Drosophila melanogaster: one gene and its partners. The protein of the gene in region 1 interacts with the protein of each later gene in a pairwise test. Each region holds a gene or a part of one and is shown on either strand. Other genes may lie near its edges.

Region 1 (7,768 bases):
CTTGTTTGGAGGATATCTGTCAATTGATTTCGCACTTGGTTTTATTATACTGTCCTATTCTATGGAGCCCTGAATTGAAGCATTATCCAAAAATATCTTCCCAAAGCAAATCAAACAACCCGACAATCCCTCCCGTAGCCCAATATCAAACAGCCCTGACCAAAGTGTGGCCTTGTTTACGCAAATACGAGCCCAAAACAAGGATCTTTGTGCATGTGGAAAAAAGCAGCTGCTCCTGATGGCTGTCCTCTGTCTCTTTCCGACGAATCGCTATCTCTTTCTGGCTTAATTCGGCGATCCATTTGTCGACCATTTTGGTTTCTCCTCACGCCCCAGGTCGCTCCTTCCATCGCATCTCATTCATCCGCACGGGTTCTCGGTTTTATTGCACCTTTTGTCCCATCCAGCCCTCTCTTTCTGATCCGATCTTTCCGTCTCTTTCTCCTCCCCGCCATGCGTAATCGATGCAATTTGCACGCTTACGCATATCGCAAGATTAAACTTATCCCTGATCCCTGAGCTGACTGATCCCTTGATGCGACTGCCATTGCCATAAATTGCTTCTATTTCCTACACTGAGAGTCTAAATGTCCAAAAGGGTTAGAACTGAGAGCTGATGAGAAATTTGTAAATAAAATTAGGAACATTAAAACTTCGTTGTGAAAACGCCCATAAGTCGTGAGCCACGGAATCGAATGGGATCCGTAGGTAGGGCAGGACATTTGGAATATTCGAGGTTTGATTACCCATAAACTATTTCTCTTTGTGTACCTCTGGGATCCGCTGAAAAACCTTCGACCGGATCAACTGCGCGACGTATAAAACGATATTTGGATTAAACGTTTAATTGACTGCTGAGCAAAACCGGTGTGACCATATAGAGACATATCCAGGGGTTGCTGCTGCTGGCGGGGATTAGAGCCCGATTCCGATGTCGAAGCTTCATTACCATATCAATGTCGGCAGCAGGCGACTCAGCCTCAATCGCAAATCCTCAGCACGGGATTTGGCTGCTGAATCCGAAGAATCTGATTCCGATTCTGGTGCGGATTCTGCTGCTGATTTCGATTTGGCTTCTCGAGGAAATTCGCTTAAATTTTTAACAAGACAAATACGCAAAGCACACGCCCCTCCCCCGTCTATTTTCCATCTCTCCCGGTTTTACCGCTTCTGGGAAACAATCATGGAGAAAGGGAGAGAGAGAAAGAGAGAGAGCAGGGAAAACTTTTCTAATTTTGCACAACTGGAAAATGTGGCCGTGGGCGTTCAAAGAGAAATGGCAACAGAAAATCGAAATAAAAATCATCATCATCGGGAGGGAGCCAAGAAAAAGTTGAAGATGATGATGGTTTTTTCCACATTGTTTTTCCCGCTTTTTCTCCGGCGCTCAAATGGAAAAGTAGAAAAACCTTTTATTCCACAATGTTTGCTTAGTCCTTTGCCAATTGAACTTTTTCGCACAGCCAATCGAAGGGGTAGTGGTACTCAGCCAAATACAATACTTAGACAAGTTAATTTAATTTTTTATTTAAAATTCAATCTGCGAACTAAAACAAAAAGTGCACAGCAAGTGGGGAAAGAATTCAGGTCAGAGGTCAGAGTAGGTAGAAAAGGCAACAAAAAGTTTCATGTGAAAAAACAAGTTGAACAAATTCTGTGAGGAAAATAATAGAAAAAAGTGCGTCACATCTTTTGAGCTTAGCGAGAAGCGCACTCCCAGAGCTTCCTCCTCTTTTTCCATTCTCAACTCAATATTTCCTTTACATTTACAACATCGTCATCATCGGTTTTCCCGTCGGGAGTTGTTGGCCATGTAAGAAGTTCAGTGTAAAGGCAAATAGCGAAGCCCAGAGAAAACTGGGCGGCAGGATCCACTAAGAATCGGAGGGGAAAGAGGACCAGAAATATCCTGGTCCTGCGGTCCTTGGCCTGCTTAATTATTCAATAATTTCTAAAAGCATTTGGCCACATGCGACGTCATCAGCCGTCATCCTTTCATCCTTTTACGGCATGTGACAGGACCGCCCCTCTTCTTCCGTGCGCCCCCGTAATCAGTTGAACACATATACCCCCAACACACACTAAAACATCTGCATTTATGTAAGCCTCCCTCCCTGGACCCCTCCTCTTTGTCCATCTTAGTACACAGAGCGATTTGGGTGCCCTTTAAATACTTTCTTATTATTTAAAGATATTTCGAAACCACCCAATTTAGTAGTCAGTGTTGATTGATAATTTATCAGGAACGCCTCGTCTTCCATGATTCTCCTAGCAGAATTAAGTTTAGTTAGTATGTAAAGATGGACCTTACTTGGGAATTATTTCTCCAAGTGATCCCCATTTTTCACCCCCACATAGGTGACATTGTAAGGACTTTTCGGTTCATTTGCTTTTCCTGGCTGGATTTCCATTTGTGATTGTGGGTGTGGTTTGCAGAGTTGCATTTATCATTAGTCGTAGCTTAGCTTTTGTTTTCCTGCATTCGAGTGGACGAGGAGGGGGGGCATATCTAGGGAACGAACCCTGGCGGCCATTGGGGATTTTGCACTTGGGCATGTTTGATGTGGAAACTTTAGATTAAAATATTTTCCTATGCACACACACGAGGTGAAACAATAGCGACGAGGGTCACCAAAGTGCCGTAGATTATTGAATGAGCGCTCCCAGTCTCCCTCCAGTGTAAGCTTCATCTTTATGTACGAGTAGTAGCGTGCTTCTTTCTACATAAAACGTTCACCCCTTAACCCTTTTCAAGCTCCCAACGTCTGCAAGAATGATGATAAAGATAAAGCTCAGAAAGGGAGAAAGAGCAAGAGCAGCGCTTCTCCGTGGGCGGATTGAGCGCATAATGATGTTTATGTGTTGCCAGAAACATAAAAGCATTAATTTAGTCATTATCTTCTTAAGATACGGCGCCAGCAGAGGCAGTGGAGTATCAGAATCCCCTGAACGCGAGAAGAGAGCGTCAGGCTTTTTGCCACCCATAATTTCCATCAGCATTTTTATGCTACCCCTGCTACTCACTCTGAGTGAAAGCGAGAGAGCTTCTGTTGCCATATCCTGCGCACCCGCTTCCCTTCTCTATCGCTCCCTCGACAGCTATCTCTTTCTGTGGGGGCCGCGGGGTCTGTCAGTGATGACTTTATCTGTATAAATAACTGTCAGTGGCCAAAGAAAGTAAGTAGAGAGCGCAAAAATACAAAAAAATACATGGAAGCATTGGTGTGAATTGGGTGGAAAAGGAGGGGTCTGGTGAATGGGGCATTATCTCTGTAGCGCCATCTTTATCCTGGACCTCCTGCCAGCCTTTAACCTGGAACACTGCAAGATGGGGGCCCGACACCATCAACCACCACCAGCTAGAGCGAGAGAAAGAGATACAGAGGGAAAGCAAAAAAGGGAGGGAGGATACAGAGAGAGGGAGAGGCGTCCAAAGCCAGAGAGTATTGCCAAGCAATATGGTAGCGTTGAGGGCGTGGCTTCACCCCGATTTCATTGGCCAACGTCGAAAAATGTCCGCTAAACGAGAGAGCAGATGTGAGTTTGTATCTGGCATCTGAGAGTCTGTATCTATATCTGTCGAGGAACTGGCCTAACGACTACTCAATCGACAACTTGTCGGGCGGAACGCTCTCACAACACTTTCGCAGCTCGAGCGGACAAGAAGGGTTCCCGGTGGCAGAAAACCTGTGGAAATAATAAAATATAAAATCACGACGCGATTGCAGTGCGTGTTTCTAGTGCGGTTTAGTGAACTTGGCATCGATCAAAACACACTAATCCAGTGAAAAAAACCTAGACTTAATATTCGCAACATTGCCACCATTACTGAATTAAAAAAAATTGTAAAGCGCTTAGTGCTTCAAAAGTGCCGCTTCATTAAAAAAAAATCAGTGGGGAAGAGACTTTTTCCTACTCGAAAGCTTCATAGACTTCTTCAAGATTCTCTCCTCACTGTGGACCCCTGGAGGAGGCGGTGGAGGCACCACCACCACCACTCCCAGCACCACGCCCGACATTCCGCCCTCGAAGGCCAAGTTCAAGATCACCGTCGTGAGCACGCCCAGCCCCTCCCCGCCGCCTACGCCCCCTCCGGCTGGATCTATGCTGGCACAAATGGTAGAGACAAATTCCCCGCCGGCGGGTTACACCCTCAAAAGGTCGCCCAGCGATCTCGGCGAGCAGCAGCAGCCTCCAAGGCAGATCTCGCGATCTCCTGGCAACACGGCCGCCTATCACCTGACCACCGCCATGCTCCTGAACTCGCAGCAATGCGGCTACTTGGGCCAGCGATTGCAGTCGGTCCTCCAGCAGCAGCACGCCCAACACCAGCAGTCCCAAAGTCAAACTCCGTCCTCCGATGATGGCAGCCAGTCAGGTGTCACCATTCTGGAAGAGGAGAGAAGAGGAGGAGCCGCCGCCGCGTCTCTCTTCACTATCGACAGCATTTTGGGCTCTCGCCAACAGGGTGGAGGCACCGCTCCAAGCCAAGGCAGCCACATCAGCAGCAATGGCAACCAAAATGGACTCACCTCGAATGGCATCAGTTTGGGTCTGAAAAGAAGTGGCGCCGAGTCCCCAGCCTCGCCAAATTCAAACTCCAGTTCTAGCGCAGCCGCCAGTCCCATCCGACCGCAGAGGGTTCCTGCCATGCTGCAGCATCCTGGCCTGCATCTGGGTCACTTGGCGGCTGCAGCGGCGAGCGGTTTTGCCGCCTCTCCCTCGGATTTTTTGGGTAAGTCTATCAATCCCCCTATACTGAACGCACAAGCCCCCTCAGCTGAATTTCATTATGAAGACAACTTAAGACGAAACCAGTTCAAAGGATGGTTCTTTAGATAAAGAAATTTTAACATTTTGAAATACCTTATTTCATGCATCTAAACTCTGAAATCACCTTAAGGCAGCTCACTCATGCAGTCAGGAATCACCCATTCAGCCACTCACCCACTTTTATCCTGACATCCTCATCCTCTCCCACTCAACCGAACCACACCCATTCCGAAGCGAGTCCTGAATGGCATTATTCATAATTAGGCAATGATCCGTGAAAGATGATTCCGCATTTCCTCTCCATTTTCCTTCGATTTTGCGGTGAGAGGATTTGCATTGGGCTCTAAGTCTTAGCTTGGGCCGGAAAAACCAGGGAAATCCGGGATGCTGGGGTGGCTTTAAGATGGGCTCAGGCCTTGTGTTGATTCGAGCGTGGATCTCAGGCGCAGATTTATGCAGAATACCGCTTAAATTCATTCAAAGGCTCCCCCGCAGGACATGAATATTAAAAACCTGGTCGCAACTTTTTTCCCCAGCTTGCTGCAACCGGAAACGGAAGCCACACATACGTTTACAGATGGGGTCAAAGGAATAGATCCGTTTTTGCAATATGTTATCCATATATCATTGTAATATTCTTCGTAACGATATTTACATGTTTTCCAAGTACAACATATGCTGAAGAGGGTAAATAGTTTTACATTTTACTTGAACTGATACCATTTTTGTGTCTACTGTAAGCCAAAATGGCGGCAGTTTTATTTTGCGCGGTTCGTTATGCGCATTTTTAAGGATTTACCCAGGAATATTCCACTTACACCCATTCCCGTGGCCCTCTTTTCTCCAGTTATATGATGATGATATGACTGTTATTCCAACCAGGGAATAATGAATTTTCCTTTTGTTTTCCCTACAGTGGCGTACCCCAACTTCTATCCAAACTACATGCACGCTGCTGCGGTGGCGCATGTGGCCGCTGCTCAGATGCAGGCACATGTGAGTGGAGCAGCCGCTGGATTGTCGGGTCACGGGCACCATCCGCACCACCCCCATGGGCACCCCCACCATCCACATCTGGGCGCACACCACCACGGACAGCACCACCTCAGCCATCTGGGTCATGGACCTCCGCCGAAGAGGAAGCGTCGCCATCGCACCATCTTCACGGAGGAGCAGTTGGAGCAACTGGAGGCCACCTTCGACAAAACACACTACCCAGATGTGGTGCTCCGGGAGCAACTTGCCCTCAAGGTGGATCTCAAAGAAGAACGAGTTGAGGTGAGTTTAAAGCTTCTAATTTTTAATGCCGAAGAAGGTGTAAAAAAGGGGGCAAGACTAAGTTTAAAGCATAACTTTATAGACATTTAAAGTAATTTTTTTAAGGCCGCTTTGTCACCACAAAAAAACAATCAATGCCTGGCTTTAGCTTTTGATCACTGTGTTCTTCCTAGCAGCCGCCCACACTCTGTGTTTAACATTTGGCTCTAATTTCACGCTCGTTTTAATTCCCCGCGTGAAACCAATTGAGTGCTACACCCCCGCTCCTCTACACTCCACTTAACCAGAATCAGATTCCGAATCCGAATCTCTGGCATCTGCATCGCAATCTCTATTCTCTCCAGCGAGATTCTCCCTCTGAGAACTTCTACTTGTTTATTTAGTTGTCAGCGGCGTACATTTTGAGGGGCTTCTTCGCCGGCGAAAGCAAAACAATGCCAATCCCAATGATTCACTTAATTTGGGTAATGGGACTCGGGATACAACCGCATGTTTAAACGGATGGTGAGGGTTATTTGCTCGTCGGTGGTTGCCACTGCTGAATCGTATCATTGGTAATGTAAATATGCAGGGATTCCGCCTTCTGCGCCCTTGTAAATCCCACCCCGGGGGATGAACCATCCCTTTAACATCGGCAATTGTGATTCAAAGTCCATTAGTGTCGAGGAAACCCAACAACAAACAAACAAATTGAGAGGTCACCAAGGAAGAAAGTGACGACAAAAGTTGACAATTTAATTTGTTCACATTTTTGGTGCATTGATGGGTGGCTATTTCGCGTCTTTGATGAGGATTATCCACGCTTTCCGGGCTACGGGCCCCGGGTTCCGGGCCCCCTTAGTTTTCGTTTCCCTGGCAATATGTTTGTCAACCGGTCAAATGTTTAATCTAACCCATCCAACCCCATCTCACCCTCACCTTTCGCAGCGCAGGAAGGCGGACAAGTGCGACATTTGTTGACACTCGAAGGGTTTGGGCTTATGTTTAGCCGTGAGCCTAAGACAACTTACACATTAACATTACTAACCATTTAGGATAATGAGAGGCGTGGCGTTACTCAACCCGCAGGCGAATTGACGCCCGCTTTTTGATTAGGCGACAAATTTAACCCGCGGCGAGCATTGGAATCCAAAGCGGATTAGAATGCAGGTTGTAAGTTGTAAGTTGCGAGGTTGTTAGGCGGGAGGAGTTCTACAATAGGATAAGCAAATGAAAAGCCGAGGTGGGGAAGATTTTCCAGCTCTTCAACTAATTGGAATTCAGCGGACTCGAATCTGCTGGCTCACGGGGGCGACTAATTAACATACAACACACAAAAAGAGACTTCAAACTTGTCTCTGACAAGCAAAGTGGATGAGGAAAGAGACGGCAGCAATCGCAATCCCAATCCCCAAGCAAATCTTGTGCTCAGTCATCGCTCGTCATTGACTTAAGCAGCATAATCAACTTCAGGTCTGGCTTCCAACTCGGAACCCCGGCTTTTGTGACTGCTACTGTTTAGCATATTTGCATGCCAAGAGTTGCCACTCGAGGCCTCCGAGCCCCCCGATTTCGGGACCGTCTCTCTAAGACCCCAGCCGCTCCATAAGTGGCAATAATTATTGAAAATCTTGCCTAAGACAAACAGCAGCAATAACAAAAGAGAAAACAAATGAAAAAAGCGAACAAATTCGAAGCCTACACATCCGATGCTCTAACGGAAAAGAGTCCGTTCGGT
Region 2 (8,834 bases), about 19 Mb from region 1:
CTTGTTGCATAAAAAATCACTATCAAAAACTTGTCACTCTGATTATGCATGTTTTTGTTTGTGTGGTTGTGGTGTCTGGTTGTTATTTTGTATTTGACTGGCTGATAACCTGTTTGCTCTACAAAAAAAAAATCGTACAAATGTGTTATGGAAAAATATATAGAACCACAAAATAATATTTCTGCCGGCAGATCTGATACATCGACACGTGCCCCCTTATTTATTTTTGGAACGTCTCCGCGTAGAACCCGATTAACTGAGTATATATGAACGCATAGAGTATAAGTAAACATAATATCTATAGAAAAGTATACGTATATCTCTATTAATCTTCCATAGCAGTGGGAGATCTAAATGACTTTCAGACGTGTCCTTAACGCCGCCATTGACCTCAAACATTTGTGGAGCTTCCCCGAGAACCCAAGAGATGCACTTTCACTTACAACAAATCGACAAACTCTGGCAAACAAACAACGAACCGCGGTCGACGGCTGATCTAAAGAGACTAATTTTGGCTTTAGTCCACGTCCACGACGACGGTGGAGAAAAGCCAGCGAAACGTCACTGCCGGCCACGCCCTATCAGAGGGTATATGCACTTGGTTCAGTTGCTTGGAGCATAACAATGGGAAATAAGGAATAATAATATCTGATGATCCTAATGAGGATCGTATATGGTACTGTACATATATTCACTGTTACCTAAACATTTATAAATAAAATTAGGGATGTATATTCCTAATAAGAGTATAACTAAGCTATTATAGATTATTAATTAAAGTTGAAGAAATCATAAAGTATTATAGAAGAATATACTTGATATATAATATAAGAAGATTCTTTTAATGTTTTATAAAAATTCAGTATTTCCATTTGTTTATCATTCGTATGATCTAACTGAACTATTATTTAAGTTATCGGCAATAAAAGTTAGTGAATAGAATGGTCGGCTTTCTCATCCCTTCTCCTACATTTTGTTTTGTTTTCAACGGCAACTGATAGCACGTAAATAGCATACACACGGAAAATGTATATAGAAGAGAGAGCGGAGTGGAAGAGAGTCCAAGTCCAGATGGGGAGCATAAGCTGCAGACATATGGCTCCAAAACTAAGAGGGAGCCACATATGAAGAGCGGAGGAGAGTGGTCAGGCTTACCGATGAAAATGCCATCGTTAAATGCTTCACTGTGAGAACATTTTAAACAATAAGTATGATGTGAAATGGTCCATGAGAATACGAGTTATACTAACTAAGAGTCTAAAATCAAAACATTTATTGTGATTTTTATTGCCAACCTCTTAAAATCGAGGGAGGCTCGTCTCTAGCAGTTTATTTCACATTGAGCTTATCAATAGCAAGATAAGCCCAAGAGTACTACTTATTAGTTTCTGTATTCACTGGGAAAATACAAGTGGCTAAAGCGACTGCGACTTGTCATTGCTTCGACCTTAGGTTGTATATTATTCCGAATATTATTAATTCGCATGTTTACCAAGTTGAGCATAACTCAATACACACTCGAAATTTATATAAAAAAATACATATTATTAACAAGCATATGTACATATGCCATTTAATCGCCAGAATAGAATTGGAATATGCTTCGTTGACGTCAAGAAAAGTCTTAACAGTCCAAAGTATGAAACTAAAAATGATAACTTCTCTCAACAAATAGATCCATGAGTTTTGATGACTGCAAAGGTATCTACATGTATATAAGCATATGGAACTCCATTCCCTCCAAGACTCATTCTTAATCGGGTAAACTATTAATATTTTTTCGAGAGCATTCCTGCTAACCCGTAATTACCAATCAATTTGAAACATTTAACTTTTACCTCCTCACTCTATTCCGCACTTGACAATGGGTGTCTCACTAAAATGGCTGTCTGAAAACCCGCAATTATTTTGCCATTGTTAAGTGCATTTCCATCCACCCCGATTCAATCCAATCCCACCCGCTTCCGCCCGCCCACTTGGGCGGCAGGACATGCGCAGGGCGTGGCAGTCGCCAACCCCATACATCAGTATTCCCGCTGCTTAACCATATTAGTTGCTACTTTGTGTTGTCAATTGGATTTGATTGCCCGGCGAGGGGGCGGGCATCAAGCTACACCACCCACCCACCCAGTAACACTTCTCCAGCATTCGCGTAATTCGCTCCGTTCCGTTTATTGTAAGCACTATGTTCTGGATAAGAAGTCGCAGGGAACTAATGTATCTTAAAATGGAAGTTCTCGAATACAATCACTAAATTTGATTAGTTATTAGACTTAATACATGACTAGAAAACTCGTTCAAGAACTCGTTGGTATTTACACGGCTTTTCGATTCAATTCAAATATGTATCTGGGGGGAAATACAACTATAATTATAGCAAAATAAATATGTTTCTTTTGGACAAGATCAAAACAGCTAGAGTAGCTGGATGGTATCTGTTATAATCAATCAATTAATTCAATGGTGAAACTGATGGGTAAGTTTCCACAATTATAAGGAACTATAGTTCGTACTAAATCGTAATAATAGATATTTTCAAAATGGTATAACCATGCTCGCGCTGATAATATATGTGTTGTTTTGTAACTTCTGTGCTTGTCTAATAGAAAAGTCATTTAGTAAAAGAAACTGATATTTTTTGATTTGAAAATCTCTTTTAGTTGTATTTCCCCCAACTGAAACACCGAAAACTTTACTACTTTAGGATCCAGGTCCACATCCCGATCGAACTGTCTATGTTAACTGGTAGAGTTTCGCATCGCCGACGATGTCCACGTCGCTGGAGTTGTCCTCGTCGCCACTGTCCGCCTCCAGATCGGAGTAGTCATCCGTGGAGTAACCCTGCTGCATCAGGCACATCTGCAGCTGCTGCTCGCTCGTCGGCTGAGTGGGTGTGCCGCCGACAGATCCGGGATTCAGTTTGCCGTGCTTGGAGTCCCCGGATGAGGAGGTGGCCTCGCCCGGCTGCTTGCCCGGTTCGCTGCGTGAGAAGTCGACGGGCTCTGCGGCATGGAAGAGTCAAAGAAATTTCCACAAAATTTAGAACTAATTTGATTTGCGTTGAAACTTGAGCAAAACTTTTTGCATCACAAGGAGCCGGCTAAAAGCCAAAAGGTCTAATTGATAGTCCAAAAGTTCCTCAAAGAAACTACTCACTCCAGTGGTCTAGTTTTTGGTGCTTTGTGACCAATTTGAAAACCGCTGACCACTCCTGCTCGAAATGCCTTTTGACAATTTAATTGCTAACTCAAATATTGCATTGTCTAAAAGCTGGAAAACTTGAGCAACTCTTTTTCGCTCTAGTTGTTCTTAACAGCCCAGAAAAGGTTTGAATATTAAATAACTTGATTTGAGTATTATAAATTTCGTAATATTTAATTTGCTCATAATAAATTTGTGATTATGAAATCAATATACTCACCATTGGCATTGTCGCGCCGGCGCAGCTGCTTTTTGTGCTTCATGCGGCGGTTCTGGAACCAGGTCTTCACCTGCGTCTCGCTGAGTCCCAAGGCGGTGGCCAGCTCCACACGCTCCGGCGTGGACAGGTATCGCTGTCCCTCGAACCGCTTTTCCAGACCGGACAGCTGCGGATCACTGAACACCGTGCGAGCCTTCCTCCGGCGGCAGTGGCGCAGGGCATTCACGCCCATTCCCAGTCCGAGGGCCAGTTCCGGCACACAGCCAGGCGCTCCGAAGAAGGGCGCTCCCCCGAACAGGCTGGCTGAAAGGGCAAAGGATGCAAAATTTGGTTAACTTCGTTATAGTTGGAACAAATGAAAACTTTCGGTGTTGATGGCCATTTACACCGAATATTTCGAGTTTTAGTGCCCCTAAATGAAGCTATGTGGCAACAAAAAACTGCACTTCAACATCAGTTGTCCTACTAATTTGGGTTTCATTTTGAAAAAGTTCTAAATGTGAAATTAAATGTTGTGCTGGCTTTTTAATGAGAATATGTCCAACTTCATTTTCGATTAGCTAAACTCTAGCTAGAATTGACTTTTAATTTCTATGAGTTCGACTTTAACTTATTACCAACATGTTTGTATGTACCAGTACAAATCAGAATCATCTAGGAGGATATCTCTGTAATATCGAGCATTAACTCACCTTGTGATAGAAAATAGGGATCCACGGACTTGTAGGTGCCCGACGACGGCGAGAGATATCCGAGGGTCATTTGAAGAAATCCGTGATCGGTGTAGGGTGCATTCGGATAGAGTACTCCATTGGATGCACCACTACCTCCATTCAGGGGCGGCGGAGGCGGAGGTTGAGGTTGAGTCGTGGGCACCGGCGGATGTTGTGCTGCTCCAGATCCCAACTGCTGCGAAATCTGATCTCCGTTGTAGTGGGAAGTTCCGTGTCGCGAGTGGTGGTTGGACCTACGAAGCAAGTGGTTCAATTAGGGGTCTATTGGTATTTCGATGTTAAACTATTCTCTTTATGTCCAATAGTGATTTTTATGCTAATATGCTTAAATACAAATATATATTCCCAGATACATTAAGCTTTATGGTAAGCCTGATTTCTATGTTTCCAAAATATCATTTTTCTTACAAAAAATATTCTATAATTTAAAAGAACATAATCCAAAGTAAGATTTTAAAGGTGTATGCTATTCCAAAATATTTGTCTTCAAGAAGGTGTGACTATCTATCGTATTTGATGTTTCATGTTTACTTCTTATTCTTTTATAAATTCACTTTGTTAATATTATCTTATTTTTTATTTATTTTTTTTTTATTTTAATTACTTTTTTTCACTTTTCTATGCAATTATATTGGCTTAAAATTAAAGTTTTTTAAACTAAAATTTCACTGCAGTAGTATTAGGCCTTGGAATTCGGAAACCAACCGTGGAGTGCTGTGCATGGACTTGCCGTAATCCTCGCCAGCGTAACCCGACGCAGCCTGGTTGCTGCGGGCAGTAGCCGTCGCGGATGCGGATGCGGACGCCGGCGGATGTGACTGCGGCGGATGCGAATGTTGCGACGGATGTTTGTGCGGATTATTGTCGTGGGCAAATGCGCTTCTGGCACTTTTCACCGCGTTTCTGCTGCTCTTTGGCGCGTAGTTGTTGGTGTTTGCGGCGATGCCGTTGGTATCACTACTATTATTGTTATTGCTGGCACTATTTAAGTTTTGAAACAATATGTGCTCGATGGAAAACGGCGTTTTTGTGGTCAGCATTGTGGTGGCACTGGCCATCGCCGCCGCCTTGCTGTGCGTGGGCGTGGTGGCGTTGGCATGAGCATGTGCGTCCGCAGGACTCAAGCTGGCCTCATTAAGCATTGCCATTGCGCTGGAGGATGGCCGAGCAGGAGGAGCACGAGGAGCAGTGATGGAGACCGGAGCCAGGAGATGTGCCAGCCAGCCGGGATATATACGTGTCCTTGGACCGCGCGCGCGCTTATGTTGTTTGCTCGTTGACGGTCGCGTTGAGTTTGCGGCAATCACCGCACATCAACCAGCAAATTGCTCTAAACGAGCTGCCAGCAGACATGTGCGAGCGAGCCGGCGATATGGTCCTGCATCCTGCGAAAAGGGGAAAATCGAAGGGGGGGAAAAAATGCGAGCGCAGGCAGTGCCACCCCCTCCTCAATCCGGCTGCAGTTGGCCCGCTTTGCGGTGCCCGCTTAGAGCGGCAATATTCGGGGAATCCCCGTAAGCGGGCACATGAACACACCCCTCGATTTGCATGCGCATAGGGTTGTCCTGCTCTGGCAGGATTTTGAGCACCCATCTCTCTGCTGGCATCCACTGGACATGCGATTAGTGCGGAAAAACCTTAGTTTAATTGACCCCCGTTAGCCGCAAATAAGTTGCACAACTATGCGTCCTTGCTCTGCCGCCATTTTGCGAGGCAGGCACATCCTGCCACGTCCCCAGCCGCCCATTTGGCACCCACTTGTCATAATTAACGTGTCACGGCCGCCATTGTTGGCTGTCTGGCTGATGATGTGCGTGCATTAAATGCCACAATTATTATAATTGAATTAAACAATCGATTCTGCTGCTGTGACAGGATAATTGCTAGGTGGAGCCAGCGCAACTGTACCCGCTGGGTTGGGGCCAAGCATTCGCCTGCTTTGCATTCAGATATTTTTTCCCCGCGCGGTTAATTGAATCAGAGCCCCACATAGCCGTACACCACCCACCAAGGACACCCGGCCCCCTCCGCACCCAACCAAGTGACACCATCGAAAAAGGGGGCGTGCCTCCTTTCCAGCAAGCCACCAATCGGCGAAGAGCTCGCCGAGGGGTTGCTTTCGCAACTATACTCGTCCTGTTTCGTCCTGTTGCTTTGAGAATCAGTCTTTCCTCACAGCGGAAAGTCCTTAATTCCTTCAGAGAGAGGGAAATATGGGGGGGGGGGGTCTCCACAAACAGAGCAGGAAGGAAGGACAATAACGAGACATCGCCGAGAGAGAAAAAGCATATGACGACGATGCGACCAAAAAGCAAGACAAATTTGCTCGTTTTATTAATAAAATAAGTCACGCAAACTAAGTCGAACGTCATTATTAGGTTAAAGCCCTAAAATGGGCGCATTAGGATGGCATTCGAGTGATCGCGGTGATGGTTGGGTCTGCTTGGGGATGTGCTGCCCTGTTCCTGGGCAAAAATATCTCAGCTTCTCTAAGGACATTGGGGGGTTATGGGGTTTGTGTTAACGAATAAAAATATTTAATTGTATTTAAAAGATATTAGAATAATAGTACTTAAAAGTGATAACCTAATTTCAGAAGTGCTCTACCAATTTTAAAATTATTAAATTAAAAAGATATAAGATTCATAGTTCCTAAAAAGACAACGTTTTTCTTTTAATATCTATTTTATAATATTCTTTTCATTTTCTATAAATCTATTTTATGAAATCCCATCTAAATTAAATTTTAATTTAAGGGTTGTATACCTTAATAATAAATATATTTATTATTATTATTTATTATTTATTATAAATATATTTATTATTACATATATGAGAAATAAAAACTGATATTTATCTTAGAGAAAGAATATTAATAGAATAAAATATCTCGAGACTATAGTTACATATAGTTTAGAGCTCCATAGAAGTGGAAAGCTGGAAAAAGGTATCCCAGCCAGAGATGAGCACTTCTCTCACCTGGCCGAAAGCTCTTAACTGGCTGCTCCGCCTCCACATCCACCTCCTCCTCCATGGACTACTCTTCGGTGTCATCCATTGTTAACCCGCTGACATGAACGTGCCAAAGGGCCTTTGTGAGGACATATATTTTGTTCAGTTCTTTTTGAGTCTGCTCGGTGGCGTGTCTACCTTGCGTTTTTTATTGATTTTTCTCGCTAGGTGGAAATCAGCGGATTTGCGAGCAGAGATTCCCATGGCCAACTATGAGGGCAGATCATATTTTTGAGCCATCATTTAGTCTGCCTAATTTCCCATTGTTGCACGTGCCCCGTCCGACGGACTGAGCCTAATTTTTATAATAATAAAAATGCTACTACGTCTGGGGCATCGAATTGCCAGCCACTTTGCGGTTTAAGCTGAAGGAGGGTGCTTTTCCTTGGGGCAATTACAACATTTTGTGTCAGTTTGTCTGGCAAATCCTTCTGCGCTGTCTACATGAACGTCTCCTTGCCTCCTTTTTTGTGTTAGCATAATTCCCTGGAATCAAAGCTGAAGTGTGTCACCGATCAGGTTACATAAGCCATAGGTCGCGCTCGACCTCGCAACAGGGGTGAATATTGGCGGCACATTGCCTCAGATCCTCTTTCCGCATTTAAGTTTGATTCTCGGTAAATTAACTTCTGATACAAGCAACACAAACTTGAACATCCTTGCGGGTCCTTTGTTTTTGGGAGCAGCGCTCAAGTGGCTACATCCTTACGCAACCTTTGTTGTATTGGATTTTTGTTTTTTGCTAATCCTTCAAGGATGAAAAAATCGTACTTGTAGTTCCTGTTTAAGGATAATTGAATAACGAATTCAATTCAGCTCAAGCTAAAATTAAAGTTGCTTATTTTTACAAATTGATGCAGACTTCCTTTACGTAATGACTTAAAGCTACAAATTGAAAGTCTGCCAAGACTTATCTAGTTTAATCAATCTGATCAAAAGGCAATGCGATGATTTAAAAAATTGTAGCATTAAACTGCAATTATAGCTCGATATCACCTGAATCGTTCAAAGCTATTAATAGAAAAAAAAGATGTTCAAAGAAAACGCTTGGTCTTAATCTATGGTAAGAATGTATGTCATTATAACATAATTTTTTTTAAATAATTATGCAAACTCTGCCCTTGTAAGTATTGTAAGTATTGACATGATGCATCATAAATGTTACTAAATTGTCGCCAATTTCAATATCAGGGATTATGCAGTTTCATTGTTACTTTTTTTTCATTTCCTACTGACAGTATACGAGTATTTTCACCAATACAAGAAAGTCTGAAGATCTATTGCCAATAAATAAATATAGTTCTGTTTTTAAGCCGCTATTGAAGATTACCCAGTTGGTCCCACTCTTGAAAAATCCTCACGTAACTCGCAATCAAATGGCTATTCGGTTGCATTTAAATAGGAAATATGCTCGGAAATTGTTGAGTTACGCCCACCAAAAACGCCATATCCGGGAATTCAGTGGCCGAACAATCGAGCGAGTTGTAGGTCCTGGCTGTTCAGTAGATTTCACGATAATTGCGCGGGATAAATTCAATTAAATAGCACACTACATGGCCGTAGAGCCCAACAACTGTATCAAAATAACAGCGATGCTGCCCCCGCCGGCTGATAAAATCGGAAAATGCCAGCAAATTACAAGCTGCCTGCCCCTCGACAAATCATCG
Region 3 (6,956 bases), on another chromosome or scaffold:
AGAGCGTTTAAGCTCTGCTAAGTACAAAATTCTCTTTTTGCGAGTTCGAGTATTCGTCTATTGTTTGCTGGCTGTGAGGCTATCTCGGGTGTAAACCAAAAGGAAAATCGGATTCGGGCTGGGTGCGTGTGCGGACCTCTCTATATCTGGTTGGTAACGCTTAATCAGTCTTGTATACAAACAAATTAAAATTAGCAAATTGTCTACAACCAAGCTACGTGGCTCTCTTCTCGCTACACTTCGTTGTCAAGCAGCATTTTCTAGTCAAAAAAAAAAGGGCAGTTTATAATAGTTACACAAACCATGGGGGATGGGCGCTGCTAGTGGAACATTGAGATTAACTTGCACTTAGTTAAACCATATTTTAATTCGACACTTACAAAACAAATGATATCTTTGTTGAACATGTACACGGCGGTTATACATAGTTACCTTTGCATCAATAAATTAGGAATTAGAGTAGCAGAATTAAATTACAACTAAAATTACGATACGAGACAGAGATATTCAGGGAACTCATGCATCGCTATTTACAGGGTCTAGCGCATTTTAAAATGGGATTTGGAGAGCGTCGTGTAAATGCAATCGACTCGCCGTCGCTTCGCTTTGCTTTGCCATCTTGGCCTGGGCTGGAAGTCATGAACTAGTGGGGGCTTGGCTTTCGGGGCTTTAAACGTGGCCTAATACTTGGTAACTTAAATGGATTTCGATTTACAATTGTTATCGCCAGGGGCCTAACACTTAGAATTTACAACTTGTAACAGGGGAGCGGGAACCGTGGCGTAGAATATTGGGGAGCTGGGGGCGAGGAGGCCTTGTATCCCTCCTCTAACTCCGGCTGTCGTTGCTCTCGCTGAAGCTCTGCTCACTGGATTCGCGTCGGCTGCTCACCGGCTTGGCCTTGTACTCTGTGATGAACACGGTCACCGAGTTGACCGTCACCTCTCGCGTCTGTGCCGTCGATCGGTCCACGTTTTTCAACCGTGCCGGATACCGCTTGTGCCTCTGCCGGTCGTGCCCACTGCCATGCCGTGATCCGGAGGCGGACTTCCCGTTGGGCATGTTGACACTGGCTCCTGGCAAAGTGGCGGCCTGCTGGGCGACTAGCGCTGAGTTCAGGCGTGGCTTTCGCGTGGAGGTTCCTAAAAAACAAGGGTGTATAGTCTTATTGAGCGCACCAAAAATAGTATATAAATAGTTTAAAATTGTTTCAATTAGCATGTTTATCGTTTCGAGAAGTATTCCCGGTTTCTGCGCAGTGTGAATTTATTTATTCTACGTAAGCAAATCGATACCATCGTTGGCCATCTAATCAACAGTCAACAGTCTTTTTTTGACTATTACTATCTACAGTTCAACCAGATATATTCCAATATTGTTAATACCGATGTGTGTGTATCCTTGTAGAAGGATAAACAAACCGATCCATGACACATGATCAAGAAAGCGAAAATCGGAACATGGCTGGCAATCTGCTCAATCTTGGAACTCGGAAGCGAAAACGAAGCAAAATCGGGGTCACTTACCTTTCCGCACGTCGCACATGCGACACTTGAAGGCCTCCGCCGAGTTTCTATATGTGCAGACGCTGCAGTCCCAGAAGTTCTCCTCGATCACCTTCGCCTGCCGCTTTTGTCGTCGCACCGGCGAGGATTTCTTGTCCATAATACAGGAGGAGAGGAGGAACGCCTGGGCGCCGCTGGAGTAACCGCAATCCAATCGAATCGGACCAAAACGAATCCAATGAAAATGCCCGACTTTTCCCTCTGCCACCGCCTCTGCCTCTGCCCGCCCCTCTGCTGATCCGCTGCTGCTGCTGGCCGTGTTCCTGTGATGTTTGGTTGCTCTGCTCGCACCTTTGCCACGCTCACGCACACACGGTGGCCTCAGTGGAGATTCGCTGCGCTTTTGGCACGCATTTGTTGCTTAATTGGAGCGTTTTCGGTGGCTTTTTGTTGTGAAAAAAACTTTCTGCAATTGTCTTTTTGGCTGCGGCAACATTGCCATATCGTAGAAGTGCTCAATGCCAGGCTATCGATATTTCGATAGTAGCGCGCAGCCAGTGTTGGCTAGCGTATGGTGCTGATCTGGCAACTCACTTTTCGATTGGGCGCCAAACTACGTTTATTTTGAAATGTGGCTTGTCATTGTTTTGTGTTTGCATTTTATTGTGAAGCTTACGCCCACGCTTTTATTTTTCTAGCCAGCCAAAGGCCAGCTGCTTCAGCAACAATGGGAAGGTAAGCGGTTTTGCTTATGTTTACTATAGTGGTGCTTATGGGTAAAGAAGAATTTGGGAAACTTATTAAATTGTTTTTAAGCTACCTCACATATGCTTAAATGACCAATGATGATTCTTTTTGACGCCTTGCGCTCTAGCCAATGGCCTATGTACATACAACCTTAATTTAGCCGCTGGCAAGCATCAGCTGCGTTGTGTTTACTTATAACTTGTATCTGTTCTGTCTGTCTAGCCCCCAGATCACGTTTTATCTTGGCAGTCTTATCATCGGTTCATCCCCTTTGGATTGTAGGCTCCCAGGAAGGTGTTACACTTGCGACAATAGTGGTTTCCAGTGCGGCAACTGTTCATGCAATAGGGAACAAAACAGGCACAGCAGCAGAATCTTTAAAGAGGATGAGACATGAAATATATAAATTTAAGATAAATCAATAAGCAGATAAACTCTACTCCTTTTTATAAGAAACTCAACTTACCCGACCAAACAGAGGAGACCTGCCACCATATGGGTCCTGGAGTTAGCCGTGTGTGTCATCCTCGTAGTTTTGTTGGCTCCACAGGCTGGGCAGAGAACCCTACTTCGATTTGGACCCAAGTGTAGAGTATCTGCAACAGCAGGGAGTGACGTCAGTAGAGCTTCACAGCCGAACTATAACTATGTGCAAACTACACACCTGTTGGAACCACTGTGGGTGGTTGTGGGGCTGGCTGCTCCACGACAACCACTGGCGGTGGTCGTGCTGGGGCGATTGCTGGTGCGGAAACCGCTGGAGCCACCGGAACAGACACCGCCACATCGTACGACGGAGGAGCCTCGATGGGCAGGCCGTTGGCGATGGGATTGCCCAACTCCCTCGTTGGCGTCGGCGAGGGGGCCGTCGGGGCGTTGAAATCCACTTGCGGATAAAGCATGGCTCGCTTCTGATCCATGGTTAACGCACTATAAAACCCTTGCTCTAGTGCGAAGTTCGGGTATGGTTTCGACTTATTAAAATGACTAAGAGATTCTGGTTCTCGCTAAGCGAAAAAAAAAAGTTGTTTACTTTGCGTATTTACAACTAGACGGCGTCTTTTGCACTTCGAACGCCGCTCGCAACTGCCAGCGAATTTGGATCCAGGTAGAGATTCAGTTTCAGTTTTTTTTCGGCTCAGATCGGAGCGAGCTTGGAAAAGCTCCCATCCGGTTGAGCAATCAGTTTTGGGGCTGTTGCAAAACCGAAAGTATCTCTCGAATACTGTTTACCGAGCTTTATCTAGTGCACACAATGATCTTCATTGTTTATCGAACTTATCTCAGGTACGGGAATAGGATGTCCGATAAAGATACAGATAGCCACTTCAGCATAGTCAGTAATTAGTTAGGCTTTTGGCAAATAAAGCTGATATATAGGATTCCAAGGGCGTAATAGTCAGCAGAGTATAATTTAACATTAAGCAAAAAAGCTTTCAGCAATTAAATCGAAAAAATTACTGAATAACTTAACCAAGAATGGCCTAATAATTGAAGTTAAAAAACCAGTTTACTTTGGTTTTTAAGAGCAAATTTAAAATTAAATATTTAGGTCATCAATAATATTATACTTATTTGAAAACTGGGTTAATTTCGCTAACACAAAATAGTAATTCTATGCCACTTTAAAGCTCTTAAAGCGTCACTTGTAATGACGAAATACTTCGCTTTAGTTCAGTTTGCGTGCTGCAGTCCATTTATTAACTAATTACTTGAAGAAAATATGTACACATGAACAGGTCGCCCCCGAAACATTTTTGGTTGCTCATTTGCGATCGTAGGTGCCCAAATAACGATCGCACATGCCACAGTAGTGATTGGTGTTCATGCAACTGGAAATGCAGTACGGCAGACACACACAGCAGTACAACCTGTAGGGAAGTAAAAGAAAAGGAAGTGAGTCACCGACAAGTGGATTATACACCTAATAGCCAAGGTCTATTCTGTGCGATTATTGCTGGCTAAGACTATCATTTGATGTAATATATAGCCTTTGTTTCTGATGCTAAGCTACTAAAAATATATCATAGATATGAAATGAAATCAAAAATACATATATAAATACAAAAGAGTGCTCTCTGGTAAGGAATGAAATTTATCTATTCTATGCTATTCTCATTCCGAATAAATTGAGCTTTTTCTGTTTCGAGTGCCCAAAGTGGGCTACTGGCCCACACACAGTGTTATCTATTTCGGGTACTCACTGGAACAGGCATAATATCAAGGCTATCAGATGGGTGCGCGAGTTGGGCTTGAAGGAGACCCGTGTCCGGGCGTAATTGTGGCAGTACGGGCACTGCACGTCCATGGGCTCCGGGCCGTACGGTGAACCGGGCACCACGACGACCGTGTGCTGTGTGGTGGATGTGCTCGCTGGAACTGGAGCTGGTCCCGTGGTTTCAGCCGGAGTGGTTGTGGCCTGGTCGTAACTGGGTGGAGCCGGTGGCAGAAGGTGTTGTTGCTCGGGTGTCGCCTGCAGCTCGACGGATCCCTTGGGCGCCTCCAAGGGTGCAGCTGGATAGACGGAATCCATGATATTTTGGCCCAACTGGGTGTGTGAATCGCTGGAAAATGACTCAAGGGAGCGCCGTTGGAAAAAAAAATGTGTCTCGCGTATCGCGTATTCTTATCAAGTAAAGCCAAAAGCTTGGCGGCCCGATTGTTTACCCCATTGGGGAAATTTCATCGTACAGCTGTCGGTCTGTGGACACCTGACCAAAAATGTTCGCATTCGTGGATGATTTTGTGTGTGGGTGTGTTGAGGTTGTGAGCGTTGATCGGTTCGATTTGGTTGGGTTCGTTTGGTTTTGTTTACTCCGTATTACTAATCGCTGTTGTAGACGCCGACGAACTTATTGCAATTGCCGCAAAAGTGATTGGCGTTCATGCAGCTGGTGGCGCAGTAAGGCAGGCAGGCACAACACCAGAGGCTGTTTGTGATTTTCCACCAGAGATTAGATAAGATGGTAGCACGGGGCTGGTGAGAATCTGCAAATCTTACCCAACGATGCATAGAATGGCGGCCATGCAGTGAGTTTTCACACTGGGCGAGTACTCCACGCGGGTCAGTTTCTGGACATGGCAATGCGGGCAGGTGATGAAGGTGGGATCCGGACCCACCGGCAATACAGCTTGATCTGCAAGTCATTGTCAATGTTAATCTTATGTCTGTCACATTGAGAAAAAAACCCACGTTGTATGATCACCACGGGCGGAGGTGCTGTCGTGTGGTGAACCACCCGAACTGGCGCCTGCACGTGCACCACCTGCTCATAGCTCGGTGGGGGCATCTGGTGGGGATAGCCCGGCGCTCCCGCCGGCTGCTGATTGTACTGCATCTTCGTTTGGTTGGTAGTCACGAACTGAAACCGAGTCTTGCGTTTCACTACTCTTGCGACTGCTGTTGCGCAACATTGTTGCTGGCAAAAGCTCTTTGTCGTAGCTTTGTATCTTGTTTGCATTGCTTTTGAGCGCCAACCAAGTCAAGCAACTTAATTTGTTGAAAGCGAGAGTAAATTCGATTGTCAATTGAAATCATGTTCAAGGAAGGAGGAAAGCGCAGTATTAAGTACTGGACTTTTAAATCTTGTTTCCTTCAATCGCCCAAGATTTTATTATAATTAACTAATGATAATCCAGGTTAAAACTAGATGAGCTAATACAATTACATATCTAAATAAATATGCAATTGACAATTTTGTCGTGTGCTGTGCAATAATGTCAATACAGATAAGAATGATTAGCTGAGTCAAGAGCAGTTATTGTACTTTACTTATTTATTTTATTAATAATATTCTACATATGTGCATACATTTAATCAAATTATTGAAGTCTTTAGAATTTGCATTACTCATCCAAATTATCACTAACATTTTTATTTATCGGTTGTCCGCAGCAACAAAAGGATCTAAAATAAGACAAACTTGAAACTGTATTTCATCTGGACGAAGGCAATCTTAGCTCAAGAATAACATACAGCGTATTAAACCACAATCTTTGGCTCCACGACAACTTGAAGTCCTCGGAATTAAGACATACTTGGGACGTATCTTTTGCTCCAGAATTCGGAATTGTAGCCTTCGGTTCGGATAAACTTTTGTAAACCTCCGCGGACCGTCCTTTGAATGCTGGTGTGCTTTTGCGTGGCATCTTTTCAGAACTAAGTTCATTTAATCTTCTATTTATTAAGCCTCAAAACTGTACTCCCGAATTCTAGGAACAAGTCCAAGCTGAACTGATAAGGCCCCACTGTTATCAACAAGCTTTTCTCAAGAGTATTTCTAGTATATCGAACAATTCAAGATGCCGGAAATAAAATCCCCTAGGCCTTACTTTTATCTTAAATTCTTTTTACAAGCCGAGCTCCAGACATCTGGAAAAATAAATACGTATTTTATTGCTTAAAACATATTACACTTAAAGTTCATGTATAGGCTTGCTGCTTTGGAATTTTTCAAAGTGCATTTCCAAAGCTCAAAAGCTCGTGTATATATATTTCATCTGCACTCTGTGGTAAACAGAAATGCAACAGCATTCCTATTTTATTTCAGATTGAGATTCGTATGCCATCTTAGGGGGATCGGTTAGGATCGCCTTTCCAGCCACAGGAACTGCATTTGTAGTAGGATTCATAAATGCCGACTCCACAATATCGATGACCGCAGCATATTGCACTAGCAAATATAAACATTTCAGTTGAAGTTG

What was found. Proteins that work in one complex are often made in the same cells at the same time.
Region 2: the proteins of Gsc (region 1) and bsh interact in a two-hybrid assay, tested with the Drosophila melanogaster proteins (one large-scale study listed by BioGRID).
Region 3: the proteins of Gsc (region 1) and CG13516 interact in a two-hybrid assay, tested with the Drosophila melanogaster proteins (one large-scale study listed by BioGRID).

What each region holds. Positions count from the first base shown.
Region 1 is NT_033779.5:590,555-598,322, reverse strand, and holds the start of Gsc (goosecoid), read left to right. Parts: upstream 1-3,637; 5' UTR 3,638-3,942; coding exon of another isoform or gene 3,943-4,116; coding exon 4,117-4,735; intron 4,736-5,689; coding exon 5,690-6,051; intron 6,052-7,768.
Region 2 is NT_033779.5:19,763,627-19,772,460, forward strand, and holds bsh (brain-specific homeobox), read right to left. Parts: upstream 5,442-8,834; 5' UTR 5,304-5,441; coding exon 4,861-5,303; intron 4,389-4,860; coding exon 4,114-4,388; intron 3,725-4,113; coding exon 3,422-3,724; intron 3,003-3,421; coding exon 2,734-3,002; 3' UTR 2,150-2,733; downstream 1-2,149. UniProt on the Drosophila melanogaster protein: DNA binding protein that function as transcriptional activator. May play a role in the determination and function of cell types in the brain.
Region 3 is NT_033778.4:22,665,816-22,672,771, reverse strand, and holds CG13516 (uncharacterized protein), read right to left. Parts: upstream 3,628-6,956; 5' UTR 3,173-3,627; coding exon 2,917-3,172; intron 2,849-2,916; coding exon 2,719-2,848; intron 2,628-2,718; coding exon 2,507-2,627; 3' UTR 2,150-2,506; downstream 1-2,149. Other genes in the region: RYBP (ring and YY1 binding protein), read right to left, coding at 829-1,142, 1,527-1,665; CG30269 (uncharacterized protein), read right to left, coding at 4,018-4,123, 4,457-4,785; CG30273 (uncharacterized protein), read right to left, coding at 5,077-5,182, 5,254-5,389, 5,446-5,590; CG42867 (uncharacterized protein), read right to left, coding at 6,823-6,925.